Nothobranchius furzeri: one gene and its partner. The protein of the gene in region 2 purifies or fractionates together with the protein of the main gene of each other region. This does not show direct contact. Links are inferred from orthologs where the notes say so. Each region holds a gene or a part of one and is shown on either strand. Other genes may lie near its edges.

Region 1 (10,472 bases), on a different chromosome or scaffold from region 2:
CTCTATAAAAAGCCGGCAAAAAGACTCAATGTCACTTTTATATTTTATCCAGAACCAGTTTTTCCTGATTGATTTTCCTCGATTACCTTCCGCCTCCTGATTCTCCTCATCATGACAATGACAACAATGATCAGGATGATCACAACCAGGCTGCCAACTCCTACTGCAACCCAAACCCACCAGATCAGACCCAGCAGCGTCATCCCGCCGGATGGAGGCTGGTGGTTAGTGCTGCCAGCTGGGGCAAAGGCAAGATCATAACGAGTCAAGTGACGAATCAGGTGTAAGAAAATGTGGAACAAACGACACGCACAGTCTTTGCAACGTGATGAACAATCATCTTCGGATGGTTTGGGAATGTTGGTATTACCATGGTTTGGAACTGGTAAAGTCAGTTTAGGATCAGCCTCTGGAAGAAGAAAAAAATGCTTTTGTTGGGACAAAAACATTAAAAGTTTAACTCTTGACTAGAAATATTCTACCTTTCACAGAGATCATCAGAGTTTTGCTGAAATTTTCAGCACCGTTGGTCACATGACACTGCCAAGGCCCTCCATGTGAGGCTTCCACAGGGCTGAGCTGAACTTTTGGGGAATTCTCAAACAAACCACCTGGCTTTTCCCACTTGACTGTGGACTTTTGGTCTGACTCTGTGACCCGACACTCCAGAGACGCTTCAGCGCCCGTTGAGAGGTCGCTGGAGGGATTAACCGAGACTGACAAAGAGTGAGATATCAGACATGGAGAAAATACAGAAATAATCACAAACACAAGAGTGCAAATGATTCAGACTGCATCTGTAGACACATAACAACCCGTGAAATAAATAATGCCAAAAATAAACTAAATCATTTTAAATCTAAAGTCTCAGCAACAGTGGTGCCCTGAGGGCAGATCCATCCATAGACAGGATTTTAAACAATAACAAAGGAGTGGTACACTAAAAAAACACATTTTTATGATTATTTCTGATTATAATCAGTTTTTCATGCAAGTTGAACGTGAAAATTGAAACTCTACGATTAAAAAAGATTGATAGATTGTCAGTTAAGTGCCCAAAAAACAGCAGAAAACATCTCGACTAGTATAAGCTAACCATTAGCATTAGCAAATTCACCACACAGCAGAACTCCTCCATGCTTGTGATATTTGTGGAGATTAAACATCCACGTTGCAGAGAAAACTGAGTCAGTGGTTGATCTTCATAATGAAGATCAAAAATGGAAAAAGTATGCTGCTTTGGAGAATACTAGAGAACCAGTCCTCATGTGGCCTACATTACTCCATCCAGAGTCTGAGACTCACCTGAGACCACAATAAGTGTGTGCTCATAAGTTGCACCATCTGCTATACAGGTGAAGCGTCCAGCATCCATTTCTTTTACTGGACGGATTTGCAGATTTTTGTCTTGTATTATCCTTGACCTTTCTAAAATGTTACTTTTCCCTAATGCAGAGGAGAAACACAGTAATGTATTATACAGTGATATAAGGAAAATAACAGTGATTTATTTCAAACACTTTTGAATTTACCTTTAATGGATCGACCTGTTTTAACATCAACCTTGCAAATCTGTTCAGAACCATGATTCCACTGCACGTCTGTTATGGTCTTGCGGTTTCCACACTCGAGTGCCTTTTTCATCCCAACTTCTGCGATGAAGACCTTTCCTGCAGCAGCGAGAGCACCCAGCACTAGAGAGAGAGGGCCACATTTATTAAACTTTCCTTATTTATAAGGTAGAATCATGTAATAAACACATCTAATGCTTAATTACAACCCTAACGCTTTACATTTTTATAGTTTAAAAACAGAAATCACACTTATTTTATAGCATTAAAACATAAAACTCTTTAAAAATATATTTTTTTGATTTACTCACCAACTCCAAACCAGATAATTGTCTTCATTCTGAGTTTTGAACCTGAAAGTAAAAAAAAAAAAATAACACAAATGGAATTTTTACTGAAGTAAACCATAAAGGAGCATCAGTGCAGCACGGTGTGGAGATGAACTTCCATTTTATCATCACGGCGTCTGAGAGAAAGAGCGCTTTACCCAAAAACATGAGATCCCTAACCACCAAGCTCCTCTCTGCTTCCTGCTTTTCTCTCTTTAATGAGTTAAAACAGATAAAGATTGCTACGTTTTGATGTAAACACTTGTAGAAATGAGAAAATGTTAGATTTGGAAAAATAAATGAACAAATGTTTATTTAAATACTCAGTCGATGATGCATTTTAGGACGCTTCCAGTCGTGATGCTGCAACTTCATCAGATCGTTCATCAAAAATTCATTTACAGTAAAAGAATTGAGTTTTTCTACCAATGAAGAAAGTTTATCTTAAAAATAGTCAAACAAATCTTACATACGCATTTATTTAGATATTCAAGTTTGTTTTTTATTGGTTGACTTTCAGACAGCTGAAATTAAAACATAATTTCTATATTTTATCACTTCAAAAGTCCCCAATTTTGGATTTCGTGTCATATAACTACATCAGTTAGTAACAGATTACTTAATACATGGATGAGAATGATGTTTTGTAGTTTTGGAGCCTTTTCTGTCATCTTGTGTTGCAAATAACATAAGAAAACGTTCAAATTCACCTTTTAATAAACTAAATTCAAACCTTAAGTGTTGACGCACCAAAAAATTTAACAAAAATCTAAATTTAGCAAGTTTCTTTTTTTGTATTGGTTTAAATGCACTTTTATTTGGTTCACTACAATTTAAATAATCTAAAAAAAAAAAAATTCACCAAACAGTAACCTTAACATGTTTTTAAACGCTTCGTATTAAAATTGTGGGTTGAACTCAACAACATCAGATTTGGAGGCAATATCGAAACCAGTTTCAGCTTGCATGTAAATCTGAATTTTAGCCATTTAGATGGAGAGCTTACCGTATTTTCCAGTCGATAGGGTCACTTTTGTGCCGCTGCTGAGGGTCAAAACCTTTTCAGAGCTTCGGAGTGCTTCATGCCATCGAAAAACAAGCCTGTAAGGATGTTAAACGCGTCGAAGGCGGAAGAGTGTTGAAGACAAACCAGCACTTTGGAAAGTTGTAGGCCAATGTGGGTTTGCTGCTGCTGCTTTTTTTTTTTTTGCAGCAGCAGCAGCAGCAGAGGCCTGGCATTCCGTATGCTGCTCTTACACTCACATCAAGGAAGTTGTGTGTTTTTAAGCTAACAAAACAGGTAAACATGCTCCGACTAGTCACTTTATTATAAACCAGAAATCGTAACGATGCAGGAAAAAGCATTACGTGAACTCCACAATTCATTTTGACAGAGAAATCTTTATTTATCACAGCAGAAGTAACAAAGCACTTGTCTTTAAAATTAAAATAAAACACGAGTCACCCGGGTATCACCCCCACCAAACTTGAGGAAAACATGTGGATTCGGTGTTTTTCCTGATAAACTTTGAAGTTTTCGCTTTTTTCTCTTCTTTCTAACGGTGGGTTGTTATATCTCTGCACTCGGACCGGTACAGGATGCTGTGTTTGGGTTACGTGGTGACACGAAGCTGCAGATATCAAGTAAAACAAGAGGGGCCTGACCACAGCACTCCTAAACACATTAGGGCAGTGACTACTGATGGCAGTGGAAACAGATCAATAGTCAGGGGTCAATTAGCATCAACAGTTGCGTAAACTTACCAATTATGGGTAAAAAAAAAAAAACAACCTATAACGCTGCCATCTTAGTCCCTCAGATGTTTGGAGGATGTTCCCTGAAGCTGACTTTTCTAATTCTCTGAATATATTTCGGATTACAGCCCGTGTTACATGCTTCAGTAGCTCTCAGATAGTCGGCGGGTAGACTCTGAGCCTGTGGTTTGCGATCAGTAAATCAAAAAGAAACAGCAGAACCCCCCAAACACCTTTATCTGTACATTTACACCAATTTATTTAACTGTGTATAGGCAATCGGAGAGGTTTATTTACATGTTTGTCAGTTGAGAAGCAGGCCAGGGCGTTAAAGAGCTTGCTGTAGCGTGTTTGAAGGCATCACCTCCTCCTCGTCTCATTCGGCCACTCTACGATAGAAGTAAAGATATCCCAGGTCTTTGGGAGGCTTCTCTGAAGCGCAAACCTTCTGATCGTTGAAGATGACCCATCTATGAATAAAAGAGAGACACGACGCAGCTTAACACACAAAATCATTCTTTTTACATGAATATTGTTTATTTGGGTACATAAAATGTCTAAAACGTCTATATTCATATGTGATGTTCAGAACATAAAGCAGCTCGAGAGGTGGGGCTATGGCGCCCCCTGCTGGGACGCTTTAACAATAACATTTTTACTTATTGGCTTGCATTTCCTTGTTTCTATTGGGTAAATTAACCATGTAATACATTAAATAAGCATTTTTTTCTTTTGGCTTTTTGTTTCACTTAAAAAATAAACTAATGTGATTCAAATGAAATGTTCAGGGCTCTGTCACTTAAAAAAATAAATAAATAAAGAACCTGGAGTGGGCCACGCCCACCCATCGCACATTCGGGTTGCTTTAATCTGAAAAGCTCTAATATCCAGGAAAGGCTCAGATTAGAGCCACTGCTCCTCCAGCAGCGGCTCTAGATTGCACGTGAGAGGTGGTTCTACGTTAATTTCCTTGTTTGTGACATCACAAACGGGGATTTTTTTGAAACGGCTCGTTTCAGGCACATAATTCCTAAAAACCAAAGACTGATCGAAAACGGATGGGCAGGTTTTTCACATCAGGTGTTTTTATAGAGGCAGTAGAGACCCACATGGCAGAAGCAACGTGTGAGAAACACTTACTGCTGGTCCTTCTTGATGTGACAGACGTAGTGGCCACACATGGTGCTCGTCCCCATGTGGCTGATGAATGCAAAAAGCTCGTATTCTGGATAAAGATGACCACCAGAGTTACTTTGAACCAGAACCACTAGAAACAAACGTTTGTCTAATAGAGATGTATGGTTCTCATTCACAGCCAGACTGAGTAGAGCCTATAACTTCTGAACTCACTGCCTGGTCCGTCCCGGACACGAGGTCCAGGTGGAGGATCCCTGCCACCTTCGCTCTCTGCAGCTGAGCGACCACCTTCAGACACGTCCATGGACTCCAGATCATCCATGTGAGAAAAGATCCAGTCCACTGCACGGTCCAGGATGTTACTCTGTGACAAAGACAAAACAAAAGTTCATATCGGAAACTTTTCTCCCCATTCAACCACGGCCGCTCCTTTTAACATAGAATACGGCGTTTATGAGTGACGGAGTAATAAAGTTCGACTCTAACTGTTGCTCGGAGAGCTTTGGTGGCCTGATCTCGACTGAAGCCCATTGAGACGATTGTTGCCAGGTGCTCCTCAGACAGACTCTCGGTGGGAGTGGTCCCGGGTCCAGTGCTGCTGCCGGGCAACACCAGGGGGGCTGAGAAGTCTGCGGACAATCAGAAGATGCAACCATAAAGACACAGGAACGCTCAGTTGGAGTACTGCCTGGTAAATCCTGACTTTCCACACACCCGGATCATCCATGTGGCTCATGATCCAGTTCATGGCAGCATCAATTCCAGTGTTTCCAGTGTAATACACCGCTTTCCTGCAGGCCTCTAGTGGGAATCCCATTTCACACAACTGGGACACAGTCGAGTCGTCGAGGACTGGAGCTGAATGACGTAAAACAGATGAATTACTAGGATGTAAAACAGATTTTTAACTGGTGCTACATTAATATACGGCTTCTAAACTTCAATATCAAATTGTGTCACATCATGAAGAGAACCAAAAAGGCAACGGACGGACTCGTGAAAACAGAAAAAAGGAACAGAAGGAGACGAATGTGGACAAACGCGTCAGAGAAGGAGCAGAAAAGACAGACAGACTGACACAGCAGTGGGGAGTAGAGCGAGTCGTCCTCCTCGTTGCCAGGGAAACCCAGGATACCTTTAACCTCCGTATCTGGGGTCATGAGTGGGGGCGGGGCCACCTCTGGTAAAAGCTCCTCCCCTGGCTGCTGACCGGTTGCGCGCAGAGCACTCAGATCTAGAGTATCGGGAACGTCGATGCTCACATCTGTCAAGAAGAAATAAAACCAATCAGCATTTCAGTCTTCCAATTTCAACCAAACATATCCATCTTTGTCATTTTCTTTAAGCGGTGGGCAACATTCCGACACAAATCACAAAAAGACATCACTGCTCACCCAGTTTTTTAGGCACCCAGTCAAGGCCAAAGGTGAACTTCTTAATCTGGATTACCAGGTGGTTGGGGAACGAGGCAAAGCGGGTTGTTCTGACAAACGAGATCAACGGGATCAGGAAACACGTTCTAAAACCTGTTTCAGTCGGAGTGAGGCTATCACTCGGCTCACTTGGTAGCAGAAGTCTTGGCTTGCACCGCCGAGCTCCAGAAGTCGGTGAGTATTTCCGGTTCGCTGAGAGCCGCCATGCAGGCGGAGAACGGGATCTGTGCACGCACCGTTGGTGCTAATAGGTCACCCTCCTCCCGACGGCGCTCCGCCTCCTGAAGCTCCTCTGTTATTTAGGTTTTCAAAAAATCATTAAAATGATAAACAAACAACAAGCTTCAGGATTAAAGGCCCATCAGCTCCACACCTGTATTGGTGGCCTGATCCATGGGCACAGGCAGCTGCACGATGTAGTCCACCCGCTGTGTGTACTTGGCTTTTTGCGACTGCTGACAAACGATCTTCTCCTCCACCAGAAACCTGAAAGCTTCAGATGGATTGGACCCAGAGCGACAGTTCCTCTGTAGGGAAAAGAAAAGCATGCTAGTTTAAAGAGAAGCCAGCTGAGGACTAACCAGAGAAAACACATGCAGCTTTACCTCCACCATGTTTATGAAGTGCAATAGAAACTCCTGAGCATCCTGTTGTCGGTTGGTGGAAAACTCAGGGTGGCCTCGGCCAACGAGTGCTTTAAACATTTGCGGTGCTATTCCGATTTGGTCTCCCTGCAGCAAAAGCATCAACGGGGAGAGCTAGCATTAGTTCAGTCTGAGAGGGAACGAGCAGCTTTGGGTTTCTCTTCCACCGCCTACTTCCTACCCTGGGTTCAGAGGCACCGTTTTCATCGCCGGGGTCCGGTGCTGGTTTGGAGTACTCTCCCGACAGCAGACCATAACCCAGTTTGGCTCTGGAGAACAAACAAACAAAGCTAGCATCAACGAACAGCCAGGAAACCTCATAAAGGAGGTTTTGAGTAGAAGCCTTAATGAGGCTTTGCTTGTGCCAAATACAGTGAAAGCGAACTCCCGAGGGATAGTTTGTCTGTAGAGAATTTAAAAAGGCTTGTCAATAATGCAACAAAGCAGAAATAGTTTAAAATAATACAGCATAAAGCTGCATCCCAGAGTAATTCAGCAGAAACAAACAAATAACGTTTCTAGTAAATCATGTTAGAAATTGTAGCTTCAAGGCTCAAATAATCTGATAGAAAGAGAAACCAATCCAAATGTATGTTTAATTAGAAGCCCGTTACTCTTTAAAGGTGTGGCACACTTGTTTAATCAACACATTAGCAGTTGTCTGCAGTAGGAATTAATGCCTCGTAAGTCGTACACGGGCAGGGGGCTAAAAACACCGGAGCACCATTTCCAGAAACTAGCAGTGATCCACATCACAGCTGAGCTTCAGACAGCAGGGTTTAGTCTTATTTCCTGATAAATCTCTTCTCTGATTGGCTAACAGCAACGTAACTATACCATTCACTTGCAACGTTGATGTTTTATCTCCACAAATAACACAAACCTGGAGGAGTTCTGCTGTGTGGTGGATTCGCTAATGCTAATGGTTAGCTTCTACTAGCTAAGACGTTCTCTGCGGTTTCCTGGACGCTAAACCAACAACAGCCTTCCCCGTTGTAAGCCAAGATGGGCGAGTTCACGAATGTTAAAGTGACAGGGTGACGTAAATCTGTCAGGATTTTCTAATCCTAGAGTTTCACCGTCTGTTTTCTATCAGAAGCTAATGCAGGAGGTAGGTGTAGGAGACTATTTTCATGTTCAGCCTGCATAAAAATCTCAAGAGTGACCCGTTAGAATCAGAAACAATCAAAAAAAATTTTTTTCAGTGTTCCACACCTTTAAATGATCAGCATAAACTGCATTCACCTCCCAGGGCAGCGCAAATATTTAGTCGTTTTTTTTTTATATTCAAGAAAAAATGTTTGGTACCTGAAACTTCCATAAATAAAGAAACATTTTATCTGATGGCACCATCTAGTGGCTGACAAGCATATCACACAAAAAATCTGTTGCTCTGTTTAAGATGGCGACTTCACGTGTCTTTTTATAAATGTGCTTCTGTAGCAGACAAACAGAGCTAAAACACGCAGTTTTACGAGTGTTATCCTCATGTCATGTTGTGTTCTCATATATTTATATTTTAGAGACTTTCTTGACCGTGAAAAGTTAATTAACTCTGCATCAGCCGAGGTATTCCTTAAATTTGAAGCAAGTAAGCGGTAGTCTAACGTTATTAGCTAGTTCTGGTCGGCGCTCGGTTTCCTATTGCACGGGGCTATGCGGGGCAGGGGCGTGCTTAGCAAAAAACAACAACAAAAGGACGTATCGCTTACATTTTACCACAGTACATGATGAGATAATCGCTTTTACAGGATTTCTGAAAAATCCTTCATCATTTCTGAAAGGGGAAAACTCCGGAAAGCAGCTTTAACAAGCCACAGTAGAAGCAGACGTTTCTTCCTCTGAAAAATAACCTCTACGTTTCTAGAGATAAACATTGAAAGCTGAAAAATCCCACCTGAAACGTTTTAAACTTTCATTTAATTTTCTAAAAGCCGGTAGACGGTGTGTGGAGACCTCATGCACCGCTCTCTCAGGCATCTTGTGGTGAACTCAGAGCTTTGTTTGCATAACGAGGAAACTCACACTTGAGTTTTGAAGTCCTGGGTCGGGTCGCTCGGCGCATCGTTGATGATCTTGTCAAAGTTAGACACGTACCTGCGAGAACAGAAGTGTGTGAAACACTTGGGTAATCCATCCTGCTTCTACCATCTTTAAGGATTATATGGTAACATTAGTGACACTTCAGAGACAGATTGATGAAAATTGTAAACAAAAACAGCATTTATTTTTTAAAGGTGAGGCACTTACTTGCTCTGGAAGTCTGGAATGGTGAAGAGCACTTGCATGACGGAGTTGAGGTAGCAGCTGTTCCCCAGATTCCTCATCCCAGTCAGGCCGGGGCCAAACAGGGGCTTCAGGGTGGTACCCGACTCCTGGATCACCTCCCACTCCCCCACACGCTGGTTTACAGCAATCTCCAGCTCTGTCATTGTCCTCTCCGTCTGAGAGCAGAGAGTTGAAGACATAAAAACACCAGAGGAAGTGGACCGAGTCCTGATATATGAAGGAGCAGCAGAACTAGTCCGGCTGAAGGGTAATGGCTGCAGACAGATGAACAAGGACTCATTACAGCGCTGAGTGCTGCAATCTGCCGTCTGTTTTATTTCTGACACCCTGTCTGCGAGCGTGTGCACAAATACATTAGCACAACACACCACATTAGAGAACAGCGAGGGGTATGCTGATCTTAGAAAAACAGACATCTGTGTAATAAAAGCTCTGCACAGAAGCAGCAGCTGGCCAGGAGTCAGGAAACATGCAGGTGTTCGGAAAAGAGAGGCCCGTCTGTGTAATGCAAACATTCAGGGAAGCAGAGAATTCTTTAAATTTTACAAAAACAACCAAAGAAATCAACTTGAACTAAATCCTCTCTGCTTTCAGAAAAGAGACTAGAATCTGCGGAACAACAGAAAATGATTACAGTGAAAAAAGCAACAGAAAAGTTTCATTTCCATCAGCGGACTGGCAACTGATTTAAAAAGTTTATTCCAATGGAGGATTTCCTCATAATAAAGGAGACAAACATTGACGAGTGTGTCTATTGGTGGTAGAAGTTAAAGCCATTAAAAGATAAAATCAAAGCATGCTCATTTTCTAATTTATCATCCATGCAAACTAATAAAACTGGTCACATTTGTCGGTAACCTTTACAGAATTTCCTCTAGGAATGTTTTAAACTGTGATGTTTTAGTAACAGAATTGGGAATTGGTTTAGAGTATTTAGATAAATTTACCTTGAAGATATTGAAGAAAATCACTTTATTTAAATGAAAATCTGATTAAAAATTGTTAGATTGTGTGAAATATGTAAAAAAAAAAGTGTTGTGTCTTGTTGATTTAGTTCAGTAACACAACTGAGAATCGATTGAGTCATTTAACTCATTAACTGCAAATGACGACTTAAGTCGTCATTTGCACTTTGTTACGGTGTGGGCGTCGGACGAGCCCCCGCACCGTCAGAACAAAAATCTCCGCTCTAAAGCCGATCTTCATCCGCATATGTCACACGTCACGTGATCAGGAAGCAGAACATCCATGTGTTGGGAGATCACTTTGGGCCGCTGCTGTAAAAAAGTGAGGCACGAACTGGAAAAGCTTCTA
Region 2 (10,572 bases):
ATGGACGTAGGTTTATTTTTTTGGGGGGGGGGGGGGCGCTTTATTTTTTTTCAAAGTCATTTTTTTTTTTGTCCCCTGCACTTTTTACCATCCAAAGACAATATTATGCTACATGGACACTGGTTGAACACTAGGACCAAGCAGAAAACAACTGCTTGTGTTGAAGCCCTTTTCATATTGCATATTACATATTTTTGTATACTTACTGTAAAGGACCAACCCCCTCCCCTCTCCTTGCCCGTTTCGCATGCCGATCTTGCCCCCCCACTTCTAAAGTCAAAATTACACGTCCGTGGTTTGAGCTTTGGGCCATGGTGCCTTATCCTGTTGGATGTGTTCATAAAGGGATGGGCATGGTCCACAACAATACTCTGGTAAGCTGTACCAGGGTCAGGTGGAGTTGAGGGGACCAAGAAAAACATCATCTGCCCATGTAGCATCATGAATGTCCTGTTTTTGACCTAAAGGTCATGATCTGCTGCAAGTTGTATTTTACTTTCCTTGGAGTTAATACGAAGTGTCACTTAATCCCTGCAATAAAAAGTTCCGATGTTCTGGTTAAAATATTCAAAGATCCATCAGATTTCATATTTCTATGGAATCTCACATTTTATGGTTCATAAAGTAAGATGCAAACTACCCATCCTTTACACCCATTACACTAACACCCCCCCCCCCCCCCACCCAGAGCTGTTGATACAAAGCACAAATGAATAAGAAGAAGAATGAAATAAAAAATAAATTATAAATAAATAAAAAATTAATAATAAAATGAATAATTCCAGTTTCTTCTGGTCCAGCTTTAGTGAACTTGGTGTGATCATCTGCTCCTGGAATTCATCTGCTTCAAATTTCAGCAAGCAATGTGTTCGGTGATGGTATTGTACAGAAACTGCCTAATAAGTTATTCATTGCCTGTTTAGAACCTCTCTGGCCATTGTCTATTGACCTCTAACATCAACAAGACTTGTTTGTCCAAACAAGTTCTCTTTTTTCCAATCATTCTTTACAGTTGTGTGTGAAAATTCTGGTAGATCTGCGATATTTGGAATGCTTTGAATTGGAGCCAACAACTAGGCCACATTCAGACTCATTTTAATAGCTTGTATTTGATATAGTCCCTTCTAGGGTTCTACAACCCCCCAAGGCACTTTACAACACATCCTTCATTCACCCATTCACACACACATTGGTGGTGATGATGAGCTACAGTGTAGTCACAGCTGCTCTGGGACACACTGAGAGAGGCAAGGCTGCCGAACACAGGCGCTGCCGGTCTCTCTGACCACAGAAGTGTCTTGCCCAAGGACACAACTGCCACAGACAGGGCTTGAATCTGCAGCCCTCCGGTTATGGGGTGGGCATTTAAAGCTTGGTTTATGCTTGACACATTCACTTTCCACGCGATGATGCGGCTCACGGCTGGAACGCGCTTCACAACTCGCAGTGTTTATGGTTTGTGCGGCTCGTCTCTGCGGTGAGCCAATATTCTCCCAAACTGAACGGGGCAGCATGGAGCTCTACGGCATGCATCCAACACTACACCATAGTAGAAGTAGAAATTACTGTTTACAACACGGCATTTCAGCATATTCAACGGTGTTCTCGTCTTTTCCGACAGTGCGAGCTATTTCTCTCCAAGAATTATTAACAACATGTTGATCACGGTGATCTCTGAGAGCCGAATCATACAAATGTCTGTGTTTACGAACCTCTGCTATACTAGTTCTTGCCGGTCCGCCATGTTTTTCCGCGTCCGACCGTCCGCGTGGTTAGAAGCATAGGCGTCATTTTAACCGGGGACGCCGGGGACATGTCCCCGGCAAAATTTGTGATTGGCAGCTGTGTCCCCCCTACTTTCAAAAAAGCCTGCCTTATTGTCCCCAGCAATTTTTAAACCCCACTCAAGTGTATGGTTATTGTCCCCAGCAATTCTGAAAACAAACTGACGCCCTTGGTTAGAAGATTTCCAAGGTGAGCGTTGCGGAGATCTTGGGCCGTGCGGAGACGCGGTGGAGGGGCGTGGTTGTTAAAATGACGCAAAATGACGCAACTTTTCCGCGCGGAGCCGTGCAGACCTCGCGGACGCGTCAAGCATAAACCAACCTTAACTCCTCTGCCATCATTCTTTCAACAAGTTGTATTCTCCCGTGCCTATATGATTTAAGTTGCTGCTATGTTGTTGGCAAATCAGATACTTCTGTTAACAAACAATTCAACTGGTGGGCCTAAGAGAGTGTGCGCACGCGCACGCACACACACACACACACACACACACACACACACACACACACACACACACACACACACACACATTTTTCTAAGGAAAACTGCATAATAACATTTAACCAAAGTCTCCCAATTTACAAAAATAAATTTTAAAATTAAATTTCTGAAGTTACCTCAATATTTAATAAACTGAGTTAAAATGAAAATGAAACAACCTACAAGATGCATGAGTTTGATAAGACGCGTGAATTAATTTGCATTAACCTCAGCAATGTGGCTTAAGTACACACAATGATATGAGCAGAAGAAAATCTTATGAGACTGTTGTACACAAGTCAATTAAAAGTGTGAGACCTCTGAACTGAGATAAGAAGCAATGTTCTAGAGAAGTTTATTTGACACCCAAAGCAACGCCTGACAGAGCTCAGATAAACATATGTTTATGACTCCTGCACATAATAGTTGTTTGAACTCAACACTGGGTTCACCAGCTTGTATTTCCTCCAACATATGACCTCTTCCAGACCATGATCTCCTGACGCCGGCCCAGCTGGACTTAGAAGAGCATCCGTTTGGGTTTGAGATTCATATTAAATAATACATTTAATAAGAGTAAATTTTCTTTTTCTGGTTTAAAAACTTGAACTGCGTGACAACTTTCTGAAGCTGCAGACTGACTTTTGCTCAGGTGTGACCAAAAGGTGGCAGTGTTGAGTTTTATATAGGAACGTGCAGCTAGGCATGATGAACCTCTCCGGTGCATGTTTTAATTTATAAACGACAAAGTCTGAGTTACAGCAGCACAGAATCGTTTAATTTTGTCACTTCTGTTTCAGACTGACTTCAAGGACTCTGAAACTACAGAGATGGAATGATTAAATGAAGTCAGAAGCACTTATTTAAATGTATTATTATCTAAGAGGAAACTAGTGAAAATAGGCTTACATGGAGTTGGAAAATAAATGATGGTTCATGTTTAAACATATCATCGATCTATCTATCTATCATATATCATCTATCTATCTATCTATCTATCTATCTATCTATCTATCTATCTATCTATCTATCTATCTATCTATCATCTATCTATCTATCTATCTATCTATCTATCTATCTATCTATCTATCTATCTATCTATCTATCTATCTATCTATCTATCTATCATCTATCTATCTATCTATCTATCTATCTATCTATCTATCTATCTATCTATCTATCTATCATCTATCTATCTATCTATCTATCTATCTATCTATCTATCTATCTATCTATCTATCTATCTATCTATCTATCTATCTTCTATCATCTATCTATCTATCTATCTATCTATCTATCTATCTATCTATCTATCTATCTATCTATCTATCTATCTATCTATCTATCTATCTATCTATCTATCTATCTATCTATCTATCTATCTATCTATCATCTATCTATCTATCATCTATCTATCTATCTATCTATCTATCATCTATCTATCTATCTATCTATCTATCTATCTATCTATCTATCTATCTATCTATCTATCTATCTATCTATCTATCTATCTATCTATCTATCTATCTATCTATCTATCTATCTATCTACCATCATCATCATCTATCTATCATCTTTTTCTCTCAATTGCGAAAAGTTTTGTCCCGGGAATTTACGCCCGCGGCGCGCGCTGTTTCATTAATATTATTTTTTTAATAAATAATAATTAATGTTCTTAAACTATAATAACTGAGTGTTTATTATAATAAACATTTAGCTGAGTGCGGCAGCGCAGCCCGTTTCCAGCTGACAGTCAGCTGGCCGCTTCTGACAGTTGAGAAAAGTTTCAGTGCGCGTCTGATATGTTAATTAGCTCTTCCAAGTGTGCGACCCTATTGGCTCTTCGTCCGAGTCGATTTCCCTTTTCCAGCCTGACGTCAGGGCAGCTACAATCCTCTTAAACTCATCTGCTCTGTGATCCCTCTTAAAAAATCGTCCCACCAGTCAGCGGCTTCTGAACGGAGCGAGGCTGCGTCCCACTGCCCCGCTCCTCGGTTCGTCTCCGCGTAACGCGCTCCTGAAGAAGCCGGTAAAGTGTTAAATGTTTGAAAGACCAAACCGCCGCGGTTCACATGCTGAAAAAGGATTCCGCTGCTCGTGCGCGCGGCACTGCTGTGTCTGTGCAATAGACTCTGCAAAAGAAAAACTACTCTCACACGCCTGCACGTCCGGGACGCTGAAACGCTCATTTTTCAGTTTCAAGACAAACGCTTAAAAATCAAACTGGCTCACGTTCTTCCAAACCAGCCCAGTTTGACAGCTGCTCTTCAGCCCGCTTGGAGGACTGTCAGCAGCAGCAAGAGGATGGCATCAGAGCTGGCAATGAGCAACTCCGACCTGCCCACCAGTCCCTTGGCCATGGAATATGTTAATGACTTCGATCTGATGAAGTTTGAAGTGAAAAAGGAGCCGGTGGAGCCCGATCGCAACATCAGCCAGTGCAGTCGCCTTATCGCCGGGGGATCCTTGTCTTCCACCCCGATGAGCACGCCTTGCAGCTCGGTCCCCCCTTCCCCAAGCTTCTCGGCGCCCAGCCCGGGCTCCGGGAGCGAGCAGAAGACACACATAGAGGACTTCTACTGGATGTCCGGTTATCAACAGCAGTTGAATCCAGAGGCGCTGGGCTTCAGCCCCGAGGACGCAGTCGAAGCGCTGATCAACAGCACCCACCAGCTCCAGTCCTTCGATGGCTACGCAAGAGGCCAGCAGTTTGCTGGTGGAGCCGGAGCAGGAGGCACCATGGCCGGGGAAGAGATGGGGTCCGCCGCAGCCGTGGTGTCAGCCGTCATCGCCGCGGCAGCCGCTCAGAACGGAGCGCAGCACCACCACCACCACCATCATCACCACAGCAGCAGCCACCACCAGGCACCGGGCGTCCAGTCCAACGGCACCTCGGGGACAAATCACTCCCACATGCGCCTGGATGAGCGGTTTTCCGACGAGCAGCTGGTCACCATGTCCGTGCGGGAGCTCAACCGGCAGCTGCGGGGGGTCAGCAAGGAAGAAGTGATCAGACTGAAACAGAAGAGGAGGACCCTAAAGAACAGAGGCTACGCGCAGTCCTGCCGCTTCAAGCGGGTCCAGCAGCGGCACGTCCTGGAGGGAGAGAAGACGCAACTCCTGCAGCAGGTCGATCACCTAAAACAGGAGATCTCCAGGCTGGTCCGGGAGAGGGACGCGTACAAAGAAAAGTATGAGAAGCTCATCAGCACCGGCTTCAGAGAAAACGGGTCCAGTAGTGACAACAACCCTTCATCCCCGGAGTTTTTCATGTGAGTCTCGACGCTTACAAACCCCACTTAAAAAGTTTGCATTTCCAAACTTTTTTCATTTTCATTCATTTTTCTGGCCAAAATAGACCAAGACATAAATTGCCAACTTTTTTTCTTTTATTTTTATTATTTTCTACCCCTTTTCTTTTTTTAGTTTTTTTAAACATTTTTGGGAAAAACAACAATTTCCTCAATTCTTTAATTAATTTAGATTTGCCATCTGTTTCTGTTTTTTTAATGATTTTGAAGACGCACGTTGAGAAAACTTTCATCCCCTTTCTGCGCTCATCCGCAGCATACTTTTGGCGAGACCGTTTTCCCTCCCTCCCTTCACAGTTAACTGATTTTTTGAAAGTTTACCCAACTTCGTGCCGCAGTAAATGAAGCGCGCATGCAGGCACGAGGTTCCCCAACATGTCCTTTTTACACCAGCATTCTGTTAAATCCGTGTAAAACTGCAACAGTGACTGTTAGTTTTTTATTATTTTGTATGATTTTTTCTTTTTGTTGCCATACTTTGGAGGATCGTACACCATGCATTTTGACGCCACCTCATCTCATGCTTGTTATTGTGTTGATCAACAACAACAAAAGACACTGTGTTCATTACCAAACATTGTTTTTCTTTTTTATTATAAGAGATGTGTTATTGGACTGCCCTGCATGCTGGACATGTATGGTTTTCTTTTCTTTTTGTGCTTTGAAGATGTCGGTTTTGTGTTGTCGGACTCCAGCATGGCATTCATAATCATGTTTTTGGCCTTCTCACTTTTTTGGACCAAAAAAAAGTGACAGGACTTCCCACCCACCCCCTCCTTTAGCAATCTATACAAGTGCATTTCAGCTGTGTTGAAGTGCTCCACCATTTAGGCTGAATGCGCTCAGCGTTCCTCATGGAACTTTTTTGTCAGCGCGGATCCTGCTGCAAAAGAGGGGCAAAGGAAAAAAATGATTATGAAAAACTCATATTTTTATCCCCTGGATGTCTAGTCTGTTGCTTTAAGCCTTTGTTGTTATTTAAATACATACCATTGTGCATTTTTTAAAACATTTGAATATTTTAAGCGTAATTTAAGGACAAAGTTTTATCATCTAAGTTGCAAACGTGCTGCAGGTTCAACTAGATTAGTGCTGTACATTTTAAACATGCATTTAATTAAAAATTGGCTCGGCTCCAATTTTGACATAGAAGTGTATATTATTGTCCAGTGCATAAACAGTGCTTTTTTTACTTGCAGCATGTGCTTGTAAACCTCTGCTCTGCAGGTCTCCACCTCATATTTAAAGTTTGTGGTTCAAAAATATTAAGAATTATAATGAAAATAAAGGAAATGATGGAATAGGAGAAAATCTTCGCTGGAGGTGAAGTTTTTAAATTATTATTGTTATTTTATATTTTGGAGGGGGTGTTAATTCATTAACCTGACAAACTGAAATGCACTAAAATTCTCCTCTCATATTGTTGAAGTTTTGGGGGTAAATCCTCCCATAAAGATACGTTTGGCATTACAATCGTAAAGTTTTCAAAGATTTAAGGGTGAATTCAGAGGAAACTGGCATGAAGCAATAAGTAATTATTATTATAATCAATGATGTCTGGACATTGTTAGATCTTCAGGGATTGTCGCCCTGCATGTACAAAATGAGAGTTACCGTTCGCTAAAGACTGTTGAGGATGTGTTCATTTATCTTTCATCTTATAAATAGTATATAAATATAAATATTTTGCTGTGCAAAATTATACCACTCACTAACCATATGTGATGTTCATATGTGTTTTTTTTCATTTCATACAATTAAATGATATGCAATACATGTTTCTCATTTTCTTTTTTGTGTTTGTGGTTAAAGCGGCACTGTCAAATATAAAAACCGGTCAACCCAATGAGCAATCTGCTCAAGCTGAAACTGGAAAGCTTTGGGAGGCAGCGAGACGTTGTGATTTTAGCACATTATTTACTGAATGTTTCCCTTTTCATCTTTCTCTCACCAGACAAATATGATTTATGAGCATCTATTTTATCTTTTGTTCTGATTTCTCAACCAAATTATTACATTAAGTTACATTTTGACTTCCAAGCTTTGTTTTAAACTTATAAAGTGCATCCTAAAGGGTGTTTTTAAATATATTTTATGGTTATATTTGCATGATGTCCACTTCACTGTCCACTTTGGCCTGTGGTTTGTCCTTTTCATCCACTTTATGCTCGTGTGTGAGCCTGCATGCATGTGTGTTCTATTTAATATGTGTGAAAGTGTGTGTTTCCATGGATGACAGTAGATTTTGATTGCATCTATTTCTTTATGTGGATTTCTTGTTGTTTTGCATGTTTCAAATTTGTACCTCCCCATTTGCTCTTTCTCTGTTTCCCTGGTGTGTTTGTGTGCGGTGTGCCCGTTGTCTGTCCTCTTCTTTTTTTATTCCAAACGGCTTGTGCTCACTGTTATTAGCATGTCAACATTTGGCGTTCCCTGTTCTTCTCAGCCTTATTCTGCTCGTCAGTGGGTCTGGATGTTATTCCTGAGCAGGCGTGCTTTTGGTCGATGGGGAGCAAAGAGGGCAAAACCACGAGAAGCATGTGAGGGGGCGATGGCGAGGGTACAAGTCAGCCACTGTGGAGAGATTCGGCAGCTCTTTAGCAAATCTTGCATTTCAGCTTTTAGACATCTCATGTGCTGCTACTTCACTGCACTGGTGTGTTCAGTGAAACCTCCACTTTTGCGAGCGAAAGTGAAACATAAGTTCAATGTTTCAGAGCAAGTTGTTGAAACAGGAAGAGATGTGTGCCAAAACACACACGTTAAATAAAAGATTTGCAGAGGACAGATCTAATCTGGGTTTGTCAGCTTTTTGTAGTTAAGCCACAACGGCTGTGAGAAAAGGATACTCCAAAAGGACACCTCTTATTAAAGCACACAGTGTTAGGGTTGAATGTGATCTGCTCTTTGTTACATTTCAATGCTTTTCACCTTCAGTTACACACAACAGATGAATAAATTAAAGCAACAAAATACATAATCTGCACCATCTGCACTTGATGATGCAGCTGCACAGCTGTCTCGCTCTCCAAATGGAAAAAAAACCTAAAATAAAAACTAGAAAAAGGGATTTTTAACCCACCACTTGTATCTCATCTGAGGTGGGTGTGCTGCTTCTGCTGCCGTGGTGGCTGATCCGCCCCGAGTCAGTGGAGAGACTAAGACAATAGACGGTCTTGGGCTGAATTAAATGATTTTGCTGATGATTAATAGCGGTGTGGGCTGCTGGCTCCTGCGATGTAGAGATGATAAATCGTGAGTGCAGCTCCGTGCAGCTGTGCCCGTTTTGGGTCTTAGCATGCACACACCATGCAATTTACAACCAAGCTGCTCTCCTTCTTTCTCAATTTATCTAATTACATCTATTTGATCTGAGCAGTAGCACTGCTACATTTTGATACTAACCAAAACATTGTGCTGGATTTCTTCAGGGAGGATAACTGGGTGTGGCTATTTTAGATCCTAAAAGAAGTTTATCTAAAACAGAAGATTAATTCTTCACCTATTGTTTTACAGTAAATGAGAGAAACAAATTAGCTTTTGAAGTTCTTTGAGTGGGATTTAAAATAAAATGGAAATGTTTCAAAGGATGGAACGTGCATTGGAACTAACTCCACTCACCAGCCAACAAGCAAAAACACAAACTTTTTAAGTGGTCTGGCAAAATGAAACTCGTTTCATAGACTGGTTTTCATTTTACGTCTCTTTGTACAAATATGTGACTCTGTGACACTTGAGTGAAGACAGACCTAATTTTAACAAAAGAAGAAGAAGAAGAAAGGGGAAAACAAAAGAAAAACAGGATGCTGCCGCTCATATATGTGGCACCAGTGCACAATGGTTACTTAAGTGACAAATTGATCGATCTTCCAGAGATGCACCCATGTGGAACTTCAGCTCCATGCAGGCTGACTTTGTAAGAAGCAGCACGTTGTTCACTCAAGTAGCAGCATGCCAGCTGACAGATCAGAAATGAGAGGCTGCTGGGAGATCTGAATAGTTCCAGGCTTTAGATGGCGCCGGAGGCCGGGCTGGAGAGGAGGATCTTCGTCTTTCCGTTTGTCTTTGATTCTGTACAAGCCGAGTAAAAAGGTTGCGTTGGAGTTTCTTACACATGCATGTGTTAGAAATGAGCATATGAGCACCTTGGCATGCGTCTCTCTTTTGGAGAAGAGGATGAGCAGAGGTCAGAAGTTACAGTGCACAAGGCTGCTTTCAAAGTCATTAGAGTAATCCTTGCCCTGGGGAGCTCATGCTCATTTCCTCTGCCCAGACTCCCACCGAATGAGCTACACGTGCACATCCGGCATGGCACAGTTCACAGCAAATTCAAATACTCACACTTTTTTAATCATTTCTTGTATTTCACTGATTTCTTCTGTCGTAACACATTTATTTTTTCATTTAACACTCCAAGTTTTATGTTGATGACCATTCCTTTTAGGAGACTGATTTAACTTTTTAAAGGCACATGCACATGGTAAGTGTTAAGAAGACAAAAAAGGTGTTCAAACATAGAGTGCAGCCCAAATGTTTCTTTAGAGCTTTCAAACATGGCCGAGGAGGCACCAGACGACAAGATTTGTTTCATGCTGCCAAATATGCTTCTTTTACATCACATTGCTCTACAGCAGAAAGCCTGAGTCAGTGTTAAGTGTTAAAATGGCAATTCCTGAAAATTGAAGATAATTTAAGGCAGTCATGAAGAACAATTACTCCATTTTAATTAAAATCATACAGGTGTGTAATCTGAAAGAAAAGTTAAAAAAAATAAATATTTATTTTACTTCACTTGTATTTGGACAAAAAATGAGTTTCTGTTTTCAGTATTAATCTTGTTTTTACATTTTTGGAGTCAATTATAGCTTTTTTTAGTTGCAATTCACTCAAACTGTTTGCATTCATTTTTAGTTTTTTATCAATTAAAGCAAAAATCAAGAGTTTTTCCTCAAAGGACACCATCTACAGGCAGCTCTCGTTCGTGAATGTGCACCTC

The links.
Region 1: the proteins of mafa (region 2) and usp5 purify together in Homo sapiens (affinity purification with western blotting; 3 studies listed by BioGRID, with this or other methods). This does not show direct contact. The link is inferred for Nothobranchius furzeri from reciprocal best matches to the Homo sapiens genes MAF and USP5.

What each region holds. Positions count from the first base shown.
Region 1 is NC_091745.1:74,219,747-74,230,218, reverse strand, and holds the end of usp5 (ubiquitin carboxyl-terminal hydrolase 5), read right to left. Parts: intron 9,314-10,472; coding exon 9,120-9,313; intron 8,967-9,119; coding exon 8,895-8,966; intron 7,139-8,894; coding exon 7,051-7,138; intron 6,957-7,050; coding exon 6,831-6,956; intron 6,753-6,830; coding exon 6,599-6,752; intron 6,518-6,598; coding exon 6,355-6,517; intron 6,276-6,354; coding exon 6,187-6,275; intron 6,057-6,186; coding exon 5,871-6,056; intron 5,651-5,870; coding exon 5,507-5,650; intron 5,422-5,506; coding exon 5,279-5,421; intron 5,157-5,278; coding exon 5,006-5,156; intron 4,881-5,005; coding exon 4,796-4,880; intron 4,126-4,795; coding exon 4,032-4,125; 3' UTR 3,282-4,031; downstream 1-3,281. Other genes in the region: uncharacterized protein cd4-2.2, read right to left, coding at 1-2, 87-238, 314-409, 483-716, 1,306-1,446, 1,533-1,694, 1,883-1,910. UniProt on the Homo sapiens protein: Deubiquitinating enzyme that participates in a wide range of cellular processes by specifically cleaving isopeptide bonds between ubiquitin and substrate proteins or ubiquitin itself.
Region 2 is NC_091749.1:56,429,437-56,440,008, forward strand, and holds the start of mafa (transcription factor Maf), read left to right. Parts: upstream 1-4,006; 5' UTR 4,007-4,569; coding exon 4,570-5,537; intron 5,538-10,572.